Linked DNA regions of Tribolium castaneum. The protein of the gene in region 2 purifies or fractionates together with the protein of the main gene of each other region. This does not show direct contact. Links are inferred from orthologs where the notes say so. Each region holds a gene or a part of one and is shown on either strand. Other genes may lie near its edges. The genes, in order: p23 and PpD3.

Region 1 (8,171 bases), on a different chromosome or scaffold from region 2:
AGTGGTGGGGGAAATAAAGAATAATTATCTTTCAAAAAAATTGAAAAAATAAACTGAAAAGTTGGACAAGTCATTTGTATTTCTGGTATTATTTTGACACACCCACAAGCATGAACATAAATTTCTTCGCAAAGTCTTGCAAAATAGCATTTACCAGCAATAAATAAAAACAGTAAGCTCCTCTGATTAATGAGTAACGATTCATTAAATATTACCGTGTATGAGTGAACACATTTGATTTATTTTTTTAAAAGCATTTAATTTTAAAAATAAATTGAATGTTCTATTTTTTTTTAAATTGTGTGTCGCAAGTTTAGAATTTTTTATTCAAATCATTAAAACTACAATAGAAACATTATTGCTTGCGTATGTTGAAAGTTTAGCAATATTGCCCTATAAGCGCAAGGCGTGCCAAACAATCAATTAATTTAATTGTAGCTAATAAATTTGCATGTTTAATGATTGATTTTTTGGCATTAACAAAGTTCAAACCAAAAATAAACAAACTAAGTGTTTGGTAATGGTAATTACATAAGTCAACAATTTATTTACAATTAGTTTTCGATGTGTGCAAGTTATGTAAATAAAAATGTTTCACATCTCTTGATTGTGATGTCAGTCATAATATGCAAACTCATTGTTGCCAATAGTAAACAGACTCGACTAAATTAAAAGTTCCGTTTCGAGTGTGATGCAAGTGCGGCAGGAATAACGAACGCTTTTTTAATTAAGTCAGTTACTAAACTAAAGTTGACATTGAAAAACTTGATTGAGAAATGGTAACAGGTGCCCCCAACAAATTTCAATGAGAACAAGATTTAATTCGTTGTGATTTTTTCACTTTTTTACAGTTAATCCGGAGCGTAATTATAACCGATTCCGCAATAATAGCACGATGTGAGGTTGTTGTTGCTCGAAAGGTTACAAGAACGGTATGGAATCAAATAATTGGGAAACCGACAATTCCCCCGTTTTAAAAAATCGTAAAAATTACAAAGTGGAGCAAAATTATTAGAGAAATTGCATTAGTTTGACTTGTATGATTTATTTGGCATTGCAAATTAATCGATTTCTATTAGAAATTACAAGACTAAAAGTTCAACTATTCACCTGAAAGGACGTTAGAAGGTAGGTGGTTTATTCGGTTCCTGCTTCCAGCTGATACTTTGTTACCCATAAAAACTGATATTGTACTCAAACCACAATAGCTCAGCTAACTCTTTGTATAATTACAATCCATAATAACCGACTTTATTACGGCCGCTGAACACATGTTCTGATACTTGTGCAGCACAGGAGGAACTTGATACGATGTGCGTCAGTAACTCTTCTTTCTGCTCTTGTGGCTTAATGCATATCCTGTTACTCATCTTGCGGTGTTATGTTATAATGTAGGCAGTGTTGTCGGCAAAAAAAAGAACTTACCAGCTCATAGCGCAAGAAGTTGCCAGACCAATTAAACCTATTTTCATCAAATTTAATATAAATCTATCCAATAGTGTTTAGCTTGAAAAAGACAAAAATACCACCATTTTTTTACTAATTTGGTGGTTTATCTCGACTTGTTTTTAACGTAATTTTGTGGAAAATATCTCGAATTGTTTGACTTTTAATTTTTCAGTCTGTTTAGAATTCCACAAAAAATGAGAATGGACTTTAAAAACGATGTTATGCTTGAAAATAACACAATTTTGGAGTTCCTCTGGCTATTTTTTAACCGAATGGAGATAATATCAATTTTGATTTACTTGTGTAATTTTTAAGCGTAATTTAACACAACTCTGGTCTTTGCTCCAAAAACGAACCGATTTGAGTGAAACATGCCAAAAGTAAAAGAATTTCAATTTCGAACTAATTTATTTGTCATTCAATATTAGCAAAATTTTCGATAAAATTCAATGTTACGGCTCATTTTTAATGGAAATAGTAAAGTTAAAAAAAGAAAAAGTTATATAATTTTCGATTTTGATAAGGTATATGATTTTTTAGCCTAAAAAACCTGAGAATTTAGTTCAAAAAACGTGCTTAAAAGCTCGTTAAAAAAATTAAAAATACTTAACACCATTTTCGATTTAGCATCCATCCATCGTCTTTTATTCTTTAACTAAATGTGTTGTTCAAAAATGTGTTTAAACAGACAAAAAATTTCGAGAAAGGGTAAATTTTTATTTTAAAAATTAAATTAAATACTCAAAAAATGCGAAAATTTTACAATTTTTTGAAGCATTTTGTATATTTTTAAATGAAATTTTGTGTTTTAGAATGAACTATTTGGAAAATATAGTTAACAACATCAATTCGTTTCGCTATTTTTGGGCATTTGTACTAATAAAATATTCCAAAACATCTTTTTCGGTTTACAAATGAACTAAATCGAGAGTAACAAACTCTAATTTCGATTCAATTAGATGTTTTTTTAACCCATTTCCGCAAAAAAGCCAAAATTAGCACAATGAACTTAATTTTCAGATTAAGGGCCGGCTTTGTTTAAACTTAATTCGTTGTTAAAAGTTAACAGCACGAATGGACCAATCAAATTAGTTCAATTTAGTCACGTGATCCGTTAATCACATATTTAATTTCGAATTAAATTAATGACACTTCGATAAACCAGTCTTAAGTCTTTGCTTTAAAGTCCAGCGATACAAGCTAAAAGAACCTCAATTTCGACCTAAGTTTACGATTTTTTACCCAGTTCAGGCAAAATTTTCGAAAATAATAAAATTTTTCAGTTTGTTTTTAATGAAATTTCGCAAAATAATTGCGTATCAGGCTGTAAAATGTGGTAAAGTATATGCTTGGAAAGAACAAAATTATTATAATTTTTTACTTAGTTATGTGATTTTTCAGTCTCACAAAAAACATAGTCATTTTTTGAATTGCTTGAAGTTTGAAAAGGGTAAAATAACACCTTTTTCAAGTCGATTTAGTATTTTATTAGATTAATTTCGAAAAAAAACTTAATTTTTATTTCAAAAAAAGTGCTCAAATACTTGAAAAATGCAAAACTTATACAATTTTTGGCCGAATTTTATCTATTTTTTAAAATAATTTTGCTAAATAATTGAGTTTTTGGTTGAAGAACGTGACAATAAATTAGTTAACATCATTGTTTCGTTGTTTCTAAATATTATATGTTCAGACAAGGTCTTCCAAAATATGATTTTCGGTTCAAAAATAGACTAAATCGAGAGTAGCATATTCTAGTTTTAATTCAACTTGATATTTTTTAGTTTTTTTATCAGGTTTCAACAGAAAACAAATTTTTTTTTGTATAATTTGGTGGATTTCCAACTTGTTTTTAATAAAATTTTGCGAATAATTGCGTTTAATTGATTTTCCGGAGTGGTCTAATAAATTAATCAATTATTATCTAATTAAATTTATCTAACTATGTTTTTGAGAAACGCAAAAAATTCTTACGTCATTTGAACTTAATTTACTATTTGTGTAGTACATAGTTATAATATTGCATAATCTAGTTTGTTAATATTTATACAGTGTGAGTCTATTAAAAGTATATTTATTACTATTATCTAGAACTAATAAATCGCCCAGAATTCTAAATGCTGTTCAGTTTTTTGTCATTTTCTTTATGCCTGTGAATTTTTCCAGAATTTTTCTACAATTTCTAATAAATAAAATTAATTAATTACTTTTAAATAGCTGCAAAAAATTGTTATAAATATCTGTAAAAAAGTATTGCTAGTCCCAAAATAGTTATTTATTTACCGAGTTTGAGTGTAAATCGGATTTTTAAACGTCGAATGACAACGAGGGGTTTATTATCCACGAGGTAAATTAAATGAACCGATTTACATGAAAACGAGTTGAATACAACATTTTAATCTTCGAATTAAACTCAACAAAGCTTAGGGCCGGTTTATAGAAAGCTTCGTTAAAATTTAATTCGCTGTTAAAAGTCAACAACGCAAATGGACCAATCAGATTTGCTCAATTTGGTCACGTGATCCGTTAATCACGCAATTAATTGCGAATTAAATTAATGACGTTTCTATAAACCGATCCTTAAAATTGCTTAAATTTGTTAAAAATAATCTCATGTTTCGTAGTGAGAAATGTCAAACAGTTGTCAAAACTTTCTTACACAGAAAAAAAACTGTAAATTTTGGCACTGTTGAAGAATAAAATAATTACTTTCGGTTTACTTTCATAAAAACCATTGTGGTGCAAATGACTAACCTGTTACCATGACAACCCATATGAAAGTTAATGCCCAGAGTACGCTATTTGCACCACAATGGTTTTTATTGAAGTGAATCGAATGTAAGTAAAAATTAGAAATTCAAATAAACGAAATTTTGCTTTTTTTCGAGAACATCGTTTAACCACCGTATTGTTTTAAGGTAACACAAGAAATCATAAATTACCGATTAATTAATATCCTTAATTAATCAATTTTAATTAAAGGAAGGGTAGAAACATTCTGAAAAAAAATACATAGATTGAAGTATTGTGAAAGATAATTAACAAATGAGTTAATTACTTACAATATTTTTTCAATGACCGTAAAGTTTTATTCTGGCAACAAAATTGTCAAATAATCAGTGATCAAATAATCACCATCTGTGACCACCTTTTACAGTTTGAAAAAACCAGCGTTTTGTCCAGATTAGCATCGAAATCACCAGATCTGACTGTACTAGAGCAGAGAAAAACGAAAAGATTAATTTTTTTCCGTCTTTTATTCTGTATTTCTGCACTTTCTTTAATTCATTCTATTTGAACTTGGATACGGCGCAAAAATGCAAACATTTCAATTAGCTAATTGAATTACCCCGTTAGTTATCTGTCCCAATTAGTTCAGTTAATTAAAATAGCGACCTCATTACGACCAAACTGATTTACTGAATCATTTTACAATATTTGCGTTATCAAAATATTTGCCAACATTTCTGATGGCAAAGTCGTGTAAAGAATGTGGAAAACTTTCATTTTTGCATACGTTTCCGAGTCATTTGAAACGAATTAACTCGCGTCAACAAATCAGTTTAATGTCGTCGAAAAGAGCGGTTCTCACGTGGTCTGATGGGCATCAATACATCCGTCTAAGCCACACACACATGTGATAATTATAGCACCACAGACTAATATAGTGAGGTCTTGCTCCGCGTTGGCCCTGCGGTAGTTCTGAATGAAGCGCGAGTGCGAAAAGTGAAAAATGTGAACTTTCGAGTGTTGTGTTATGTCACCGTCATATGATAGCAAGCACAATATGCGACCTTCCCAATAATTTACCTTTAACAGTTTCATCGACGTCAACATTTTCCTTCCTTATCTAACCGTACACACAACCTAATTAGCGTTTATCCTGCTTTTTTCACAAATGAGTGTCAGTAAGTAGCAGCAATTGAGTGCGACGCGAGCGAAAATGAAAAAAATCTGCAATAAAATAACGAAACAGCAGTGGAGAATCACCGTTCCGAATATCAACTCGAAAAAAGCCGCTACCGAGCGAAAATCGGGCTCTTACGACTTGGAAGCGGCCCAAAAGGAATACGACCGCACTAGAACTGTGCCAAACAGTGTTTTTGTAAACAGTGATAGTGATAGTGACACCGACGACGAAAAATTCCAAGACGCAATGGAAAATGGTACAAGGTGTGTTTTAATGATTTTCATCTAGTCACTGAATTTGTCGTTACAAATAGAACTAATGACAGACATCAAAAATTACCATCTTCCATTTATTAAGTCTCCAATAAATTCGCAAATGAGTGTAACGAAATTTTTGAATATTGTAATAAACTGGCAATTTATCAACAGCCCCAAAATTTCCTAAATTTTGAAATTAATTTTGTTGGTACAAAAAGTGCGAAGTAGAAAAAATACTGTATGATATCTTGTTTATAAGGCATTTTGTCGTTGCGCTCGTCGTGCTCTAAATTCGTGCGTGCGACAAAATGTGGCTTATAAAACTTGTATCATAATATACTATTATGGCTTTAAAAATTATTTTTTCTTCCTTATTTGACAAAATAAAAAAACAAGTTGCTACTATAGGCAACTCCCAATCAAAAGCAGGTAATATTACGTCCGGTGTTCCACAAGGCTCAACTTTTGAACCGCTTCTATTTTTAATATACAGTAGGTGACCCAGGGGTGTGTAATCGGTCTTTAACTTTTTTGGGAATTGAACTATTGCTATGCTGTTTTTATTTATCCAAGAGATCGACTTAAAATCCACAAACTAAAAATATTTTTTTTATACACAGGGTGTTGTATACCAAAGTTATATTTTTTTAAATGGAACACCCTATATATTTTCGCATAATTGGAATCTACGCAAAGAAATAATGTAACTTTATATAAACTATTATGGGTCTATCTTTTTTCTTTTGGAATGATTCAGTTTTTCGTTATAAGAGAGACCAATTTTTGAAAAATCACTTCAAAATCGCCTATGAATATTTTCCTGAAAATTTGCAACAGGAAAATTCAGAATACCTTGTAGTCTTAGCAAATAGACGACTTTTAGTTAAAGCTCGTATATAATATGTAGCGTGTGCCAAAACATAAAAAGTAGAATAACTCATTTTTTTCACATGGAACACCTTGTATTTCTTTACACGTATCGATAACGTTTTTCATATACTTTTATATTACAATATATATTATATATTATATATTATATATTATATATTATATATTATATATGTTTATTTATTTTTCGTATAGAATAAGGTACTCAAAATTGGGAATAAACAAATAGGTGTCTTCAGTAACGTAAAAAATCTTGGAGTTGTAATGATAATGGATTCGGAATTGCGATTTAGAGAATATGTAAATTAGATTGTACTCATAAAAGGTCTTAAATTGCGTTAAAAATCATTGGTGCTTTCCAACAAACTATGGTTTTACTATTTATTATTCATGTTTAGATTATTATCGATCCAAATATCAGTTACAAAAAATATAAAAATCGTGTTCTCGTTTTATTCATAAATAAACAAAATTTGACCATATTCCGCAAAAAATAAAAGAACTTTGGTTGGCTGCCAGTAGACCAAATATTACATGTCCCAGCAAAAAGAAAATGTCCATTTTATTCGTCAATTTTGCAGAATATATTTTTTTAGCTTACTTTAGTCATTGGAATAAAAAAATGCAGAGGTTTCTTGCAAGTTGAATAACTTACAAATTTTAAATGGAAAACCCTATTTTTTTAATTTTGAATCTAAAAGACCTTTAACAATTAAATGTCTGAAGGGGTTTATGAAAAAATGTCTACTTGCACGTCCAAATCATATATTAAAATTGAAACATGTTTCAAGGAAAAATCCTCATCATTAGTCTAAAGAGAAGTACAGAAAAAAACACAGGATTAAAACAAGGAATATACAAAAACTAAAAACTTACCAAAAAAATTGCAATTGTACAATTAGAGAAATCTTTGAATAGAATATTACTTGTTAATTTCACTTTTCTGTTTTAATGTGAAATTTTATAATTATTAGACTCATCTTCAATTCAAATTAATTAAATGTCTCTTGCTGATAATACTTAACTTTAAACATTAAAAAAATATTAACTATTATTTCAGTAGTCAAAAAGTGAAGTTTTTAGCAAATAATTGTGAAACATAAATTTATGGTTGTAATAAATAGTAATAGGGTTTCGACCCTGTTTTAAGGTCATCTTCAGGGGGCTTAAAATAGGCTTAAATAGCCTCCCTGAAGATGACCTTAAAATAGGGTCGAAACCCGGGTTAGAATAATAATCACTAATCGTGTGGTGTAAATTTATTATTATTTTATTATAACCCTAAATAACTTTAGTATTACCCTTAGGCCATTATTCCTCATTTGTTGCAGTGAACCCCGCAGTTAATTAACGAAAACCCCGTGTAAACTCCAATGTTAAAATTAACTATTAATGTCAAATATCTTTTTAGTTATTAACTTTTGGCATTTGAAACTTCATGTTTTTAGATCGACAATTTAATAATATATGAGATGTTCTATTTAACGTTTTCAAGTTATTCAACTTTCAAGAAACTTCTTCATTTTTATGTTCCTAATCGAAATGCGCTAAACAGTTACAGATTTATGTCAGAAATTTCCCTTTTAAAGTGATGAAAATCCCATATCTTTAGGATTCTTAGTTTTTGTGATATGAATTAAAAAGAGTGTATTTAAGTCAAAAAAACA
Region 2 (8,084 bases):
AATATCTTTTTCAGTGTTTCCATCCTCATCTTCTAGTTTTTTCTCAGAGACAAGAATATCGCCTTGGTCTTGTTTTTGTTTCCACATTTCTAGTCGTTTTTGGGCCATTTGTACTTGTAATTCTTCTCTCAGTCTCTGTAATTTTGCGCCAGGTGTTTCAACTAACGGAGGCTCCTCTTCATCATCATCCACATTCATTGAAACCGTTTCTTTGATTATTTCACCTCCTTTTCCGACCCCAAGAACACTAAACAAGGAAAGTAATAATTTAAGTTAAAATAATGCAAGAAACGTACTCTAAATGAACTTTGTGCTTGTGTGAAACTTTTTTCGCGGTGTGTTGGAAATATTTTTCTACTAATTTTTTGACTTCGTTAGGTTTTGTAACACCTGCTTCTAAATCAATTATATCATCAGGAGTTCCTGATAATTTAGGCTGGAGATTAAGTTTGTCTCTCAATAACTCCAAAGTGTTGGCTTTTTTGGGAATTTCTTCAATTTCTTTCGGCACCTCGGAATTCTCTTCATTATGTGAACATTCCATTGGATCCTCCTGGTCAAATAAATCCGAAGAATAATTCTTATCTTGATCTTGAACCTTTTTTTCACCATTTTCTTCAACAAGCAATTGCCTCATTTTACTTTCAACCGAGTCTACAGCTTTATCAACCAAGAAATCAAGCCAGCTTCTAACTTCCCGTGCTGTTTCTTTCGTATCATCGTCTTCTTCTTCACTCTCAGACTTGTAGAACTCTTCAACTTCCTTGATTCTTTCATCTAATTTTTTTCTGTAAAGTAATGAGCAGTGAATTTTTTTTGACGTTTTTTTTTTTGAGGGAACTTACGAAACTTCCTCCAACTGATCCTTGCTCATTTTTATGGCCACAGAAGGGGGCGCCTTGGGAATGAGCGGCAAGGCGGAAGCCAGCTTGGCCCTTTTTTGCAAAAATTCTTTAATAGTGTAAGATTTTGGCTTGTGATAAGGCAAACTAACGTTAGATTCGCGCAACATTCGTTGAGATTCGGACTGAATTTCAATTTTTTGTTTGGCAGCTTCTTGTGGCGTCATCTAAAAGCGTTAGAACTTAACAATGTTTATACATTTATAAGACGTACTCTTTTAGGTTTGTCCGCATTTTTTCTTGATTTTCTGTAAACTGTAGGTGGCAATTCTGTTTCGTCCACATCTTCAAAGGTAGTTTGGACTCTTTCGTCCTCTGAGCTTTCAGAATCATATAAAGAATAACGCGATTTCTGAAACAATTATTTTAAATAATTAGGCGAACATGTACTAGTACTACTTGGGCGTTCGTGGGACCATTTTCTGGGACCAATTTGCCTTTGCTGTTGGTAGTGTAAATTAGGGCCTCAACTGCGGTTGCTTCATCCGGAAAGCTCTTATTGTGAGGCGTAATTTCTTCTTCTTCTATCACCGATTCATTATGGTCTTTTTCTTCGTCTGAGTCGCTGTTTATTCTTGATATTCTTTTTAATTTCTTTTTAGCAACGTCGGAATTAGCAATGGAAGTTTTTTCCTCGTCATCTGAGGGCTCTGCCAATGCTGGGGGCGCCTTCTCGTTCAAATCATTTTCTTCAGCTTCTGAGTCGCTATCAATAACATTGTGCTTTTTTCGTACTTTGTTCACGTTCAGTGTATTCATTTCGTTTTCATCTTCTGAATGTTCACTTAATTTATCTTCTGTTATTTCCATTTTTTAAAGAGAAACATTAACCTAACTTGACACAACAAACTTTTTCGCGCGCTTAGTTTGACACGCAGCTCGCCAACCCAATAAACAGAAATCACCAAGCTTTCTGAGCGCCAGAATTCAAAACTTGTGTGTAGTGGGAACTTTCTGGTCCGCTACATTAGTGCTGATCGTGGTGATTAAATAAAAGACGTGTAAAAAGTGTAGTAGAATTTTTATTGCTATTGTATAAGTCACAATGAAGGAAACTTGGTAATAAATAAATATTTTATTTACTTTAAGTCTAGAGGTATCTTTTCGATTATGATACAAAATTAAATAACAGAAACAATAAAAACTCATTTTAATACAAAAAAATAAAAGTGATGAAATGCCTACGTTAACTACATTAAAAAGGCAGGTACTAGCACATTAAACTTAGTAAAGAGTGTGCGTACGCCATTGGTTTTACGTTTGGATGGGGCTGGAAGAACAAAAATGTAGGTTTTAAATTAAAAAATGTACAACACATACCACTGCTTCATATGTAGTAAACTTAGGCTCCATATCTTTTCCTTTTAATGTAATAAAAGCACCTTGATTACCCATGGTATCACTAAAAAAATAATTAAGAAAAACATTTTTTCGAAAATTAATTTACCAATAGTTAGGAGCGGAAAACACAGTGATACATTTTCCATCATGAGCGACTTCGTATCCGTTATTTTTCACTTCATGACTTCTAATGATGTAATCCAGTTTATTTAATTCCAAAAACCTCTTCGTAACATCTGGTCCAAATTGACATCCAACTCCTCTTTTACTGGGCGCGCGTCCATTCTGAGTCTGAGGGTCTGACCAAAGCAGCTCACACATGGGGCCGTCTTCGGGGGGCTGTCTGTTGCGGTCAATTTTACTAATTTCACTTAAGGTAACATCGTCAGTCGAAAACAGACCGCCATGCATCACCTATAAATTTTTCTCATAGCAATAGTTGCCAGAAATTTCGTCAAATACAAAGCTCCAAAATCGCAAATTTTACCAAAAATGGTTTGAATTTGCCTTATTGGGGTGTTTAAGCTTGTATTTTATTTAAAAACTAAAGGTTATTTTGAAAAATTTCCCTAAAACCATTTGAGAAAAGTCAGAAGCCAATTATTTTGTAAAATTTCGTTAAAAATGAGGCAATAAGATCACCAAATTATGTCTAAAGTTCGGTTATTTAAGCTTATCCTGAGTTATTTCACGAGATTTTTTAAACCAAACCATCGAAATAGTCCAAGTTTTTTTTAATATCACTTACAAGAACTCTTTTATTCAAACAGTGAGCTAGTGGTAACCAGTTGTAAACCTCAGTGAAAAGTTCAGCCATTTGAGCGGTGTATTTAGCCTTGACCTCGCCATCGAAACCATACATTTGGTTCATTGTAGCGCTTTCGTGATTTCCTGTGTAAAGAAAATAAAATAATAATAGTCCAAAAGGTGCGTAATTATACCTCTGGACATGAAAAAGTGATTCGGATACAACAGTTTAAACCCAAAAAGGGTAAAAATACATTCAACAGAAAATGAACCTCTGTCAACAAAGTCTCCATTGAAGAGGTAGGGATTTGTTTCAGACGGTAAACCGTTCAAGTTAAAAATGTTCATAAGGTCGTAGAATTGACCATGGACATCACCACAAACAGTAAACTTATCCTCATCACCAATCTCAACATCAATCAGTGACGGCTGTTTCATAAAATACGCCTTAACATCCAACAAAATCTAAAATAAAAAATTAACACGTCTTGAATCAAAGGGCGAAGTGTTACTTTGTAGGCGTATTTCCTGTGCAGCTTGCCTTGATTCTTGTACAATTCCATTAAATCCTTCATGAATTTTAAAGTCACTTTTCCATCCTCAAGCTCAGGCCCCGTGTACTCGTTCTCTATTGCTGTGAAAACATTCACAAATGTGTTTTCCCCCCAAATAAAAACTTACTCATTGCATCTAAATTAATAGTACTGGCGATATTCTTTTTGGTATCTTCGACCGAAATGGCCTTCTCGAAGGCCAATTTCTTCACTATTTTGTTACACTCCGTATATTTGGACTTGGCGTCTTTGTCATTAGGTCTCACTTTTGTCACCTAGGGCCAATTTAGGGCTACAATGTGCCACAAAGGGGCCGCAACTTACATATTCGTAGTCCTTCAGGGCCTCCTTAAACTTGCCCAAGCTCATGTGGGCCGCCGCCCGCCTGTAAAACCCCTTAACGTAGCCTTTGTCCAGCTCAATTGCCTTCGAAGCATCGGCTAAAGCGTAGCCGAAGCACTCAGTTTTCAAGTAGGCAAAACTGCGATTCCCGTAATAGATCGCAACATTCGGATTTGCTTCGATTGCTTTAGTGTAAAGTTCTATAGCGGCGTTGTAATTTTGTTCTGAAATTGAGGAAAAAAAGTGGGGTTATGTCAAATTCACGCCGGAATTTGCGAAATTCTCGCAGCGAATTCGAGCGGAATCGCGAAATACGGCTAAATGAATTGAGTATGAGGTTGTTATTTTGCAAATCATGTGGGTTTTGAGTAAATAACGAGGGGAACTTACTTTTAAAGTACTCGTTCGCTTCGGCTTTGTAGCGCTCGCCGGCTTCAACTAGTTCGGGGGTAATAACACAGTTTTCTTTAACTTCTGTGTTCATTTTTATTTAATTTTGTACCTTAGTTTTAGAAATTGGATGAAAAAGTCTTTAAAATCCCTTCATTACTTATCAAGGTAAAAAAATAGAGGATTTGTGTTTGCGCTGGAGTTGCCAACATAAACACGCCCGCCATATTCAAACAACTGCCATTACTCAAAACAATTTATTAAAAATCACACCAAAATACTCAATTTTAACACCTTTGGCTTGGTTTTAACATAAAAACAGTCATTAGCTTTTAAAGCTTATTTTTTAAGTGGAGCTGAACACTTTCGAATTTCTCTTGGAGCACCTGTGCCGGAGTCACATATTGCTCTGAAAATATACACACTTAGGGCAAATACACATAAATGGCCAAACTCACCTAATCTATTTTTAATAAATAATACTTTAGTATCATTAATTTCATAAGTAACACTGCCGCTCCTAGAACAATCAATTAATTTCGAAGAAAAAAACAATAAAACCCGTACTTTCTACTTTTTGTCAAAACATTTTGACCCGCAAGCGCATTCAAACAATTGGTAATTGTGTCCAAACTTAAGGAATAAGGATGGATAAATCCTTTACCTTCATTTATCTTTATTTCAATTTCTTCCTGAACTTTGGCCAAAATTGTTTTCTCTTCAATAACACGTGATAACTGTAATAATAGTTTATAAAAAATGCAGCACAAGTTAAGTAATTTACCTCCAAAATAACCGAACACACCACAAAATAAGTAAAAATAAAACAATCAATACAGTTATAAATAATTTCTTCCAACTGTTTATTTTCACCGAGATCATATAATTCTTGGTTTCTGCTCAATAAATTTAAATCGACCGCATGTGCTAACGCTGAAGTGAATTCCTAAAAGAAATAACTCACTGGTGAAGCTGCAATATTAAAAAATAAAACTACAGTGTAACCTCTCTAAGCCGAACAAAGCCAAGAGTTTTAAAAAATAACAAAAACGAGAAATTCAAATGTAGAAAGACAAAGTTCGGATCGTAGAGGTTCCACTGTATCGAAAAGAAAAACCCACACACCATTTTTTCCCTGGTGTTAAAAGTAACAAACTCCTGGGACAACAGAGACCTCAGAAAGTGATAATTCGCAAAAAGTTCATCTGTACAGAAAGAATGCAATTACCCACATGCTATTTAGTGGAAGATTCTAACTACAATTTTAACTCAACTCAAAAATTACCTTGACTTTGGGCCCTTTGGTGTTTTACGATCAGTACTAAGACGGCCAAGTCCACGAAATAATGCAAAGTCGGGTTAATATAAATTTGTAAGAGCATAAACGGAACCGAAAACGTGATTGTCTTTTCTGAGAGTTCGTGAGCTTTCAATTTGGATACATTGACTTTGCCCACAACGATTTCATCCCAGACCAGAGTGACTTTTCCTTCCTCATTAACTCTGACGAAATTGTTGTGGACTTCTAAAGCCTCTAGCACGCATTTTCTTGGGTCATCCATGAAGACGTAAGCTCCGAACTTTTCAATGACTTTTTTCAGCCCCAAAATCTCGTCAATAATCTCATCAACACTCAAAAGATTCCTTCCACTCGTTAAATTATTGTGCAAAACAATGGCCAATAAATTAAACGGTGTTATAATACAATGCTTTTGTTGTTTGTAAACAATCTCATGCGCCAGCGACGGAATTAATTTCTTTTCATAGTCGGTGATTTCTTGCATGTGAATTGGTTGCAAATTATGCAAGGTTCGGTCCAAATCCGGCCCAAAGAACTTCTTCGCTGATATCGGCTCAGCTACATCGAAGTAAATCGAGCCGAATTTTTCCTTAACAATGCTCAACGACTTGAAAAACCCAGACGTCGACTCTTTAGGCTTGGGAATGCCGAGTAACTCAAATGCGAACAATTTTTCCTCCAAAATTCGGTCGTAGCTGATGTTAATTGGCACGAAAAGAACGTCAGGGACTTGGGACAAGAAAAATGCTCGAAGAATCATCAAAATCAGGCCGTATTTTGGCGTGAGCGACTTATTTGTGCGGCTTCTCGTCCCTTCGATAAAAAACTCCAATGGCAAGTCTCCTTTGGTGACAAGCTGGTAAACGTATTGCTTGAAAGTCGTCCAGTATAAATGGTCGTCGTTGTATGAGCGTCGCATGAAAAAGGCTCCAGTGTCGCGCAAGACTGTGCCCATACCCCACATACCGTGAAAATCTGTTACAAAAATATTGCAAATTTGAGGATCGCGGTTAAATTACCGAAGGCTAGTGTTAGGAGGCGACACGTCTATATTTTTTATCAAAAATAATACTACAAAAAATACAAACATTTACCAATTTGTTGTGTAATTTAGTTAAGAATAAAGCATAGAAATAATTACATAAATTAGCTAAAACATAAAAAATAATAAATAATGAGGACGATCCTAAGCAATATAAAAGTAAAACTGGCATTCCCCTATTCTGCAATAAAAAATCATGAATTTGCTAAAATTATTTTTACAGTAATTTGATGTTTTTTTTGTAAATAAGGAATTGCTGGAAGGTCGAATAAAATATAAATTATATAAAAATAAACAAGGGTTGCCATTTGAGATAATAAAAATAAAAAGCCCTAAAGTTTAAAAATTTTGGAAATAAATTGTAAACACCTTGTAATAATTCAGATTTTTCATTAATGTACAGATTATTATTCAAATACTAGAGACATAATGATACTTATAGTTCCATTATCTACAAAGTAAATGCAACATTAGAAATAATTGTATTTAATGCATTTGTCCTTCTCCAATGTATAAAAAAATATTTTTTTAACTATTATGTTGTGTAGTAAAGTTGTGATATCTGATGATTTCTTAGAAATAAAAAACTGCTGTAAGTTACGACTATAGTTACGAACTAGTTACAAAATGGTTATTTTTTGCCAAATTTCACTAAACCGTGCTAAAATAATCACTGAATAGAAAAAAAATATTTTTGCCTTTTTCAGTGATTTATAGCAGTGTTTGTGTTTCTCTGCTAAAAACGCAGATATTTTATTAACAGTGGTTTTTTTGTGAAAAAATCCTAAGACTGGCTGAAAATTATATCACAAAAATTGAGATTACTTCACATGTTCTCTGGTTTAAATTATTAATTTAATGAATTTTTTTGTGGTAATAGGATCTCGTTTCGCCTCCTAGTTCTATAAAATTTTACCCATTCCGGCTGCTATGGCGGGTATCGCCACATCCTCGGTGAAGCACATGAAGGACATAAGAATAAAATCCGCATAACTTCTATGACTAGGTACAAAAATCACAGGACAAGTTCCCATTTGAGATTTCAGCTATCAAAATAATCAGCACTTAACCTTTACTTTCCCTCGCATAACTTACTTGAAGTATTGCGTCTTCGTTCAGGTAAATCCCGGAGCAAATTCTGTTGCAAATTTTCGTAAGGACCACAGCAAGCCATCTCACAACTTTCAACTTCTTGTTGTAGCCAATTTCATCCAAAATATTCCTGACCCGCCCTTCTAGCACTTCTTTGGTAACTTGTTCCTTCTCACTCAGCTTAAATTTCGACGTTACGTTCGCACACCGTTTACAAATCGACTTACTGTGATTAGCAGTTCCTGAATTTTGGGGCTTTTGACGACTTCATCTTTGTGGTATTGGGGTGAGGGCTTTTTGGCTTGTTTGAAGGCAACTTGGGGATTGAGTTGCCTCGAAGCCCACATAAAATTGCTACATTCCGTCTTTCTGGG

What was found.
Region 1: the proteins of PpD3 (region 2) and p23 purify together in Homo sapiens (affinity purification with mass spectrometry; 5 studies listed by BioGRID and IntAct, with this or other methods). This does not show direct contact. The link is inferred for Tribolium castaneum from reciprocal best matches to the Homo sapiens genes PPP5C and PTGES3.

The regions. Positions count from the first base shown.
Region 1 is NC_087398.1:11,206,826-11,214,996, forward strand, and holds the start of p23 (prostaglandin E synthase 3), read right to left. Parts: upstream 5,287-8,171; coding exon 5,042-5,286; intron 1-5,041. Other genes in the region: Nost (nostrin), read left to right, coding at 5,393-5,622. UniProt on the Homo sapiens protein: Cytosolic prostaglandin synthase that catalyzes the oxidoreduction of prostaglandin endoperoxide H2 (PGH2) to prostaglandin E2 (PGE2).
Region 2 is NC_087396.1:11,943,010-11,951,093, forward strand, and holds PpD3 (serine/threonine-protein phosphatase 5), read right to left. Parts: upstream 4,472-8,084; 5' UTR 4,371-4,471; coding exon 4,277-4,370; intron 4,111-4,276; coding exon 3,869-4,110; intron 3,820-3,868; coding exon 3,672-3,819; intron 3,625-3,671; coding exon 3,503-3,624; intron 3,456-3,502; coding exon 3,185-3,455; intron 3,135-3,184; coding exon 2,992-3,134; intron 2,658-2,991; coding exon 2,350-2,657; intron 2,305-2,349; coding exon 2,223-2,304; intron 2,173-2,222; coding exon 2,113-2,172; 3' UTR 1,907-2,112; downstream 1-1,906. Other genes in the region: claspin, read right to left, coding at 1-247, 297-788, 846-1,069, 1,117-1,254, 1,302-1,712; Gnpat (dihydroxyacetone phosphate acyltransferase), read right to left, coding at 4,609-4,685, 4,735-4,796, 4,844-5,013, 5,061-5,222, 5,402-5,481, 5,562-6,551, 7,535-7,664, 7,714-7,890 and 1 more. UniProt on the Homo sapiens protein: Serine/threonine-protein phosphatase that dephosphorylates a myriad of proteins involved in different signaling pathways including the kinases CSNK1E, ASK1/MAP3K5, PRKDC and RAF1, the nuclear receptors NR3C1, PPARG, ESR1 and ESR2, SMAD proteins and TAU/MAPT.